2 linked regions of the Oryzias latipes genome follow. The protein of the gene in region 1 binds, or shares a complex with, the protein of each later gene. Links are inferred from orthologs where the notes say so. Each region holds a gene or a part of one and is shown on either strand. Other genes may lie near its edges. The genes, in order: cnnm3 and protein tyrosine phosphatase type IVA 3.

Region 1 (4,536 bases):
TCTAAAAACCTGTAATTGGGAATATCATTTTTAAGTCTTATAAAACACTACAAACTAAATCATAGAACTCATCAGTGGGATTACTTCAAAAATATTTGATATTTTCCTAATTCTGTGCAACACCAACAGTAAAAATCCTCCAAAACACCTCAAAGCTAATAATAAACAACTGATCCGTTGTTTCTTTATCATCTCAAAAAGTGCAGCTTTTTTGCTGTCTGCATTACGTTCTGTCTTTATATTAAATACTGACACCAACTAAACCACAGGCAGACGTAAAAAATACATTTTATATGGAAAATAAAGACACGTAATAAAATGTCTCCAATAGTTAATAAATAATGGCATTATCTAGGATAGCACAAGGGTTAAATTTGCGCTCCGGGCAATTGCCCATACTTAAAACCGCTACTGGGTGCAGATGTAGAGCGGTCTACCTCTGATCGCAGGTTCAGGTCCCACCCTGACCGCCCATCATCAGTGTCCCTGGGGAAGACACTAAACCATACGTTCCTGCTGGTGGTCGTAGGTTGGCACCATTGTTCGACAGCGGAGCTGCTATCAATGGGTGAATGGGAATGTGACTTTAAGGCTCCTTGGGCCTTGAGGAGATGGCAATGCGGCATATAAGTTACGCCATTTAAGTTTGTTTTAGATTTTTAAAGACCCATTCTGATGAAATTGTGTTTATGGCGTTTTAATCGTGTTCTTTTCCGATGATGGAGGGCATGGATAAAGAAAATTTAGCTCAAAACTGTATTTCTTTCTTCAAATCATTGTAAATCAGGAGCAGGCGGAAAAATGTAGGTAGATAGTATAGTATAGAGATACAGATACTATCTGTGACATAGAAAATACGCTGGGTGGGGCCACAAGTTCCCTGCTCCGCCCCATTCTGATGCAGACAAATAATTCTATGTGGGTCTCGGCTTTTCTTGCTGGCATCTGGATCAAAACTGGCTCCAATATTGCTCTGCATTTTGGTTGCACAGCTGTTGGGTTGCTGGTAGGATGGGTTATAGGAGTGTGTAATCCGAGAGCTCTCAGGTACAGGGAGGGGAAGGAGGCAGGGTTCCTTCTTGCCAACAGCCCCGCCCACAACTCAGAAGTGAATTTCTAATGAACTCCTGCCGCTCTGCAGAAACTATGTCCTAGAAAACCACAGATTTGTTTGCTATATACAGCATAATCACAATTAAATGACCACTGGGAACATTTTACAATAGATCAGAAATTGACCAGAGTGGGACTTCAATCAATTTCATGGACTGCTTTTATCGTTTTTGTTTATTAATGTGGATGTGTGGTGGATTGTTGATTAATTATTAAGTAAAGCACTTTAAGTTGATGTACAACTTGAAAGGCCCCTATAAATAAAGTTACATTTGAATCTCGACTAGAAAGCGTGGAATAGTGGAGGAAAAAACACTTTCTGATACATTTTTGGTTATAACTTGTAGAGAAAGCTGAGGCAGAGAGTGAGGTGACTTTGGCTGAGCTTCTTTGCGTAGACAGAGAGCAGAGGCCCGCGTGTTCGGACGTGTCAAAAATGTTCTTCACGGTTTAGCAAGCGCTGAGTCTCAGCAAGCGCGAGGGCTCTTCTCCCGCCCACACTTCCCGCCCCTTCCCTGTCCGGCTTCTTCGCGCTCTGATTGGCTGGAGGAGGCGTCCGCAGCGGAGGCTTGTTTTTGTCGAACACAGATGGATGGGAGCTTCTGCTACGTCACAGGGTGGGCGGGGGGGAGGGCTTTCCAAAACAAAAACATTGCGAATCCAGATCCAAAATGGACGCCGTTCCCCCACCGAAGCACAGCTACCGGAGCCAACATGGCCGCTGCGCCGCTCAGTTTCACTGCTGAGATGGGCGGGCCGCTTTGAAGTTGAAGTCACGTGATTCGCACAGGGCCGTGTTGACCCATTCCAATATGGTGGCCAGCCTGGCTCAACGGTTTCTGTTGATGCTGTGGTTCTGCGGGGTCAGGCGCGGCACCTGCGGCGGCGAGGACCCCCACATTCTGGGGCTGCGGGTGGAAGACCCCACGGGAGCGGTGAGCATCAAAGACCGGATCATCTCGGTGCCTGAAGGAGCTTCGTTCCAGCTTCGCCTCTTCGGGGCCAACCTGAATGGAAACGGGACGTTGGTCGCGTTCGCGGCGGGGTTCGGAACCGCCGAGGACCCGTGCGGTTCCGACAGCAGCCGGCTGGAGTCCGCCTTCAGGGTGACGGAGGAGTTCAGCCAGGACGAGGTCCACAGCGGGGTCCTGACGGTCACGGCGAACCGGAGTATCCCCGCGGGCGGGGACACCTTCTACCACCTGTGCGCGCGCAGCGGGGAGACGTGGGCGTCCGTGACCCCGGACAGACTGCGGGTGATCCCCGGCGCGGCCGCGGGTTCCATACCGCCGTGGGGTCTGGCGCTGCTCGTCGCGCTGCTGCTTCTGCTCTGCGCGCTGCTGAGGACGCTGCACCTCAGCCTGCTGGGGCTCGACCCTGTGGAGTTGTACGTGCTGCACAGCTGCGGCTCCGAGGAGGAGAAGCGGGCCGCCAAGCGGCTGGAGCCGGTCCGGAGGAGGGGGAACTTCCTGGTGAGTGTGTGTGGGGGTTGGTGAGGAAGATGCTGGTCTGTTGGCCTTCGCTCAACCCGCCTCTTCTGCGCAGGCGTGCTCGCTGCTGTTCCTGTGCGTGCTGGGACACTCGGTTGTGGGGGTGCTGCTGTACCGGGCTCTGGGCTGCATCGCCTCCGCCGCCTTCACCGGGGGCTTCCTCATCTTCCTCCTGGCCGAGCTGGCCCCTCACATCCTCTGCTCGGGGTACGGTTTCCAGCTGGCGCCCGGCCTGACCTGGCTGGCCCAGGTGTGCATGGTGCTCACCTGCCCTCTGTCCTGCCCCCTGGGGCTGATCCTGGACCTGGGCCTGCAGAGGGACATCAGCACCAACTGCATCAGCGAGCGGGTCTTGGAGATGGTCCGTACCAGCGTCAACGACCCCTACAGGTAAACCGGATCCCATTTGAGGTCCGAATTCTGAGACCAGGTCACCCGGCCGCTGATCAGGACGCTCTGGGCGACCGTGAGGAGGGGTGACCCTCCAGCAAAACCAGAACCGTTATCGGCACTGGAGTTGGAGGCCAAAAAAACATCATAAGAACGTAGTAACCATGACGATGAGACACAGCAACTCATTGAAATGCGGTTTGGATTAGAACATCTTTTAACGTGATCCACATTACTTCTCGCTGTTTTTCTATATGTCATGAACATGAATCAGTGAACCTTCATTCCCGACGTCTCCATAGTAACCACCGTGCAGCACGCCTCCATCGTACCACAGCAAAAAGGGTTCAACCTGACCTTGATACAGACGTTCAAGTTGTAAAGTTTGAATCGGTGAACTGTCCTGACAAGACTGCAAAGAACAGGACGGCCATCATTTCTGTCTGTAGTTGCTTTGCCCCGCCTTCAAAATTCCTGACCAATGACTGAAGAGATCTTTAGTCATGTGGTTTTCTTTACAAGCTTTGGTTCGAAACGGGAAAGTTTCTAGTTTGAATGCAGCCTTAAAGATAGTTTAGGTCTAGTCCTGAAGACAGAAGTGGCTTCCACAGAGGAGGAGCTTAATAACCGATGCTCCGCCTTCATTTTAGTTGAGTACATTCTAGAAGCAGCAGGAAAATCTGGAACTGTTTCAGAGAAAAGACAGAGCTGTACATTTAATTCCAGCTCCTCTGGGATCTTCAGCAGAATCTGGATCCACTTCAGACGGTGTCTTCGGTTCTGATGGAACCCAGATCCTTCAGAACGGAACCGATGTCCTCAGAGAAGTTCTCTGCTGATGACTTTTCACATCTTCAGGATTGTGAGATCTTTTGGCATTCCTGTGAACCTCTTTGGGGGTGCATCTCGCCTGAAGGTGTGCTCCACGCCATCGGTTTCATGCTTGGCGCTCCAGATCCGATCAGGAAACTGGGAACACTCTAGAGCAGTGTTTTTCAACCGGTGTGCCGCGGCACACTAGTGTGTCATGGGAAATGACCCATTCGCTGATCTAAAAACATTTCCCATCTCCAGGATATCAGCTCTGTGTTCATCCAAAAAACCCTGATAAAACACTGAGTAGTTAGGAATACGAAAGATCATAAAATACTTTTTTCTCTGTGCTTATTTGATTCTATTGAAGACATTTTGATAAGAATGATGGTACTGCGATTTAGCCGTAGCGTCAGCTGTTTTCTGAAAAGTCCCGCCCCTTTAACTGTCTCCACCAATCATTCTTGGAGGCTTAATCACACGTCATCAGTCTGACCAATCAGAAGTGGTTAAAGTCTTCACTTCCTTGTTCAGATTCTGCTCATAACGTCTCTCAGTTCCAACTAAAATACCAGCTAAAGTTCGTCTTTAGTGGTGTAGCTTTCCACAGAATCCAGTGTCAGACCGTGGAACAAGTGAACAACACCATGAAGCTCAGAGACGAGAATCTGTCTTCCATTACTACATCTCCCATGATGCATTGGGTTAAAGTGACAGCGTCTCAGCGCAC
Region 2 (4,247 bases), on another chromosome or scaffold:
AGTTGTAGGTTTTGTATTTACAAATGTCAGAGTATTTTTTTCTGTCCATAGGGACAGACTCCTTGATCTGCAGCCATCCACCTTTTTAAATCCAGACGTGTTGAGGGTTGCTGGAGGGGTGGACAGTAATTGGACTACTGGCTGATTTTATCCTGGGCAGATCGCCAGATCACAGGGCTGCATACAGAATTAAATGAACTAACTAACTGCTGCTGCGCCTTCTTTATAAATTCTATTTGATTGAAATCTTTTTAATATTTTTATTCTATTCTGACAGGGATTTTTTTTCCAAGATTGCCTTTTATTTTGTAAATTTTTCTTCCATTAAGAAGTTTAGAGAGACTGTTCTTTCTGGTTTGGGGCCTTACAAATGTACATTCTAAAAGTAAGCTCTGACCTTTCAAGAGTACCACGAGCAAGTGGAATAGCAGATCTTGTGACTGTCTTTCCTCACCTTTAGTTCCAGCTGTCGCAGTTGACTGCTGTATCTTCAGAATTGTCTTCCGGGTGAGCCTGGCGTAGGATTTTGATAATAAAATTATGTAATTTCCCAGAGTTGTAGCCCTTTTATTCGGCTCGTTCTCCCATCCGTTGACTGTATCCTGTGATCTAGAACACTACTGTGCATCAGCTGAATTTTAAGCTCTGCAATTGTCAGTGTTTTTTATTTACTTTCTTAAATTCTCCCAGTCACACTCTTTCCTCTTCTTTCCAGTACGTTGTCTGTGATAAGGCTCCACTTGTTAACCCATGAGCAGTCAGTTTTAGATGGTAAGGCTCAGTGGTCTTCCAGGGCTCATGACCCCAGGACTGTATGGCGCTGCATCATTCCAGACAGGGTCTAAATGTGTTGAGCATGGCAATAGTCACCACTCTGCCGCACAAACTCCATCAACCAGCGGTTCTGCAACACAAAACACACATGAACAAATTAATAGTGATTTAGAAGTGCGATATTTTAAACAAGGCCTCTACTTCAGTGGCAGAAATAGCTGAAAAAACACAAACATAGTGACCTCCAGCATTTTAAACAAGGTTATGTTGATTTAAAAAATATTTCAATTGTTTTCCTCAGAGGAATGTTGTCAGCCTATATTTACAAGTAAATAAATGTGTGACTCGCACATAAAATGTTCAAATGACAAGACTTGCAAAATGAAGAAGCTGTTCAGACATTATTGACATGATTAATCTGTATGTTCCAGGACCATGACTTATTTTATCCAATATTTCCAATTAATGCTTGAATACATAAAAACAAGCGAATAGGTGATCAACTGTAAAAAAGGAATAGGTATACAAATAACACATTTGGTTAATCCTAGGGCAAAGTAAAACATCTAATCTCAAAAACCCTTTTGTGTTTACTTAATATGTATTGAAGAACCCAAAAAAATACAACACAGAATTGTATTTGCATGTTATTAAAACATTTTTTGTAGATGTTTTGGACATGTTGTCATGCAACTTTTTAAATGATCAAGATGAAAGAATTTCATCCCCATAAACATCAATATTGGGCTTTTAACCCTAAATTTATCTAGTTTAGGGACACAGGATTGAGATTTATGACTCTTTGAGATTAGGACACCAAGGATTTATGATCTCAGTCAAAGATTTCACCCTCTACTCACTAATGTGTTCAAATCCTCAGAAAATCAAGCAGTAAAAAGCCAGGAGATAATCTGTGGTCACCCCTGACACACAGACTCACTCCTTCTCCTTTCAAGAGGACTGTGGTCTGAACCGGCTTGTTGACAATCTATAATTAGCTAAATGTGCTGCCAGTAATCAAGACAGAAGTAACAAGTTTGGTCATTTCCTACTTCTTTTAAAAAAAAAACTGAGCAAGTAACTTTGAAGCAACAAATTTCACCGATCTGTGAAAATCAAAAGAACAAATAATTCTGTTTTTCTGTCAAATTATGTTTATGGAAGACACTTGAATCAGACAAAGTCTGCATAGAAAGAAAAGATGTTCAGATGTCCTTCCAAACTTTGAATCTGAGTAAAATAAGTTGGCCACATCCAGGCCTGGTCAGCACACAATGACATAAAAGCATTGATCTAAGTGCATGTTTTCAAATGGTCTTACGAAATCTATAATATTTTCAAACTAAAGGGTGAATGACAACAAACTCTACCGATCAAAAGTTCTGATTGGATAAATTGCACACCAGCCAAAACCTATACTGACATCAAGCTCAAAGAAGATGTTTAATATTAAAAATCTAATTAAATCAAGTTTCTCTCTTACCCCTCGGCTGTTGAAAAGGGAAATCAAAAACACCGACAAGCAGTTACACCAAAGTCCTGCAGAAGCAGCAGCCCCACAACAGTGTAAGTGCTGATATGCAACCAGCTGACTGCCTGTTATAGTAAACCGCCATAGACACTAAATCCCTACCGGTATTTATAGCTCCATCCATACTAGCAGCTGATTCTGTGACACATCAGTTTTTTTTTTTTTTGTTTGTTTTTTTGAGGGAACAACTGTCTCCAGTGCAAGCACACTCCTATCTTCCTGTCGTCTGCCTGCTCCAGACAAGTCCAGTGATTAGAGTAACAGCAATCTCTTGCAGTTCTTTAAATGTTTACCGCAGGTATTTATCCATCAAATTATTTTTTTTAAATTGCAGAATCTGATAGGCATACTAATATGGGGGAACGGGAACCAGTTACTAAACAAACAAAAGTGCTTCTCCTTACCACTTAGCTCTTTGGTGTCCTCTCCAAACTCAAAATTAAGTTCAGCTCTGCCACATTAAAACTAAATCTAATTTTAGAGTTCTCCTCTGTAAAGCAGCGAAAATAGCAGTCTAAAAAACAGAATGTGGAGCCTTTTGGAGGCAGCTTTCTCCATTAGAATATTAAACTATTCACCTTTCCCAGTCACTTCAGTCCAGTTTGGTGGTCACTAATGTGGCATGTGCCTGTATCCAGGTCCTCTCTGCTGCAGCAGAGCCGAGTGGCGAGCTGAGGATTGACTGAGCTGGTTTAATCAGGCTGAGCAGCCATCTGACCCTGACAAGCCCCGTCACCATCAGAACACCCCAGAGTTAATGCTCTTAGAAAGAGAGGCGGGTAGCCGCGACGCTCCCTCCCTTCTCATATCTTTTCCAGTAATGCTTTTCTTTTCTGCCTTAAAGAAAGAAGTCTTACACTTCCCCCTTTTTTTAATTACTTCTCACTCCCAAATAAACTAATGATACCACATTATAAGCCTACATGCAGCACATCCGCCGCATAAAACAAAAATCTAACAAAGAACGATGCTTTTGTATCCCACAGGTGTCAAACATCACTCAAAAAATTGTTACTTTGACTGGACTTTCTGTCATGTCTCGTCAAGTTTCCTGTTGTCTCGTGTGGGGTTTCCTGTTTTGTTTTGAAAGTCTAACCTACCTCTCGTTCCAGACCTTCCCCTTCCTGCTGTGTCTGCTCCCCACACCTGTGTCTGCCTCATCATCCCTGATCATTCCCACCTGTGCCTCCCCTCCTCATGTATTTATAGCCTGTGTTTCCCTTTGTCCTGTGCCTGTTTGTCATGTGCTTTCACCTGCCAAAGCTAGCTCTTCTCTTGATTCAAGAAATTAAATCCTTAAGCTCTGCATCTGAGTCCAGTCCTGTGTTCTGCCTTGTCACTTTCTCTTGTTTGTTTCACCTTGCTTTGGTCCTTCCCCTTCCTAAATCTAAAAATAGATGCTTCTTTGAGTTACCAGACAGATTGTACGAGTGAAATCACTGAGCCTCGGTTAATGGACTTAACCTTCTCTCCAAGACACAATAGTCCAAAGCTTGTTTGTTTGTTTACCATCTAAAGTTACTGAAATGTTACGACTGTGCCTCAGTCATCGTGTTTTTCAGTGAAGTCTTGGGTATGTGGAGAGAATCACACAGTGTTCACTGCAAGCACAGGTATTTTAAAAGCAGATCTAGCTGGGGCCTCAGGTCACTATCAATCACTTTGAGTGGAGGTTAACATGACTCTCAAGGCTTGAAAACCATCTCTTACTGGCTAAAATTAGCTGAAGCTGTGCTGAAGGTGTTTCCAGTTTGTCATATTACTGTCTAAGTGAAGAACACTAAACACACACACACACACATATTATGGAGGGAAGTGTCTCGATGCTGTGTGATGGTGCCCTCTTGCCCCACTTTTCACTTTTCTGTTGACAGTCAGCTTTGTAGCTCTGATAACATATAAATATATTATAATCCCAAGATGTGTTTAGCACCAACAACAC

Evidence for each region.
Region 2: the proteins of cnnm3 (region 1) and protein tyrosine phosphatase type IVA 3 are in contact, whole or in part, in a crystal structure (PDB 5TSR), measured with the Homo sapiens proteins. The link is inferred for Oryzias latipes from reciprocal best matches to the Homo sapiens genes CNNM3 and PTP4A3. Residues at the interface, in NP_060093.3 of Homo sapiens: Ser357, Asn358, Phe394, Asp396, Lys418, Val419, Asn421, Glu424, Gly425, Asp426, Pro427, Phe428, Tyr429; in NP_001425170.1 of Homo sapiens: Asn5, Pro7, Asp72, Gly73, Ala74, Val105, Ala106, Leu108, Gly109, Arg110, Arg137, Arg138, Gly139, Ala140, Ile141, Asn142, Lys144, Gln145.

Annotation. Positions count from the first base shown.
Region 1 is NC_019870.2:1,782,077-1,786,612, forward strand, and holds the start of cnnm3 (metal transporter CNNM3), read left to right. Parts: upstream 1-1,575; 5' UTR 1,576-1,925; coding exon 1,926-2,585; intron 2,586-2,658; coding exon 2,659-2,993; intron 2,994-4,536. UniProt on the Homo sapiens protein: Probable metal transporter.
Region 2 is NC_019874.2:10,484,443-10,488,689, reverse strand, and holds the start of protein tyrosine phosphatase type IVA 3, read right to left. Parts: upstream 3,033-4,247; 5' UTR 2,884-3,032; intron 2,802-2,883; exon of another isoform or gene 2,710-2,801; intron 2,387-2,709; exon of another isoform or gene 2,258-2,386; intron 905-2,257; 5' UTR 455-904; intron 1-454. UniProt on the Homo sapiens protein: Protein tyrosine phosphatase which stimulates progression from G1 into S phase during mitosis. Enhances cell proliferation, cell motility and invasive activity, and promotes cancer metastasis.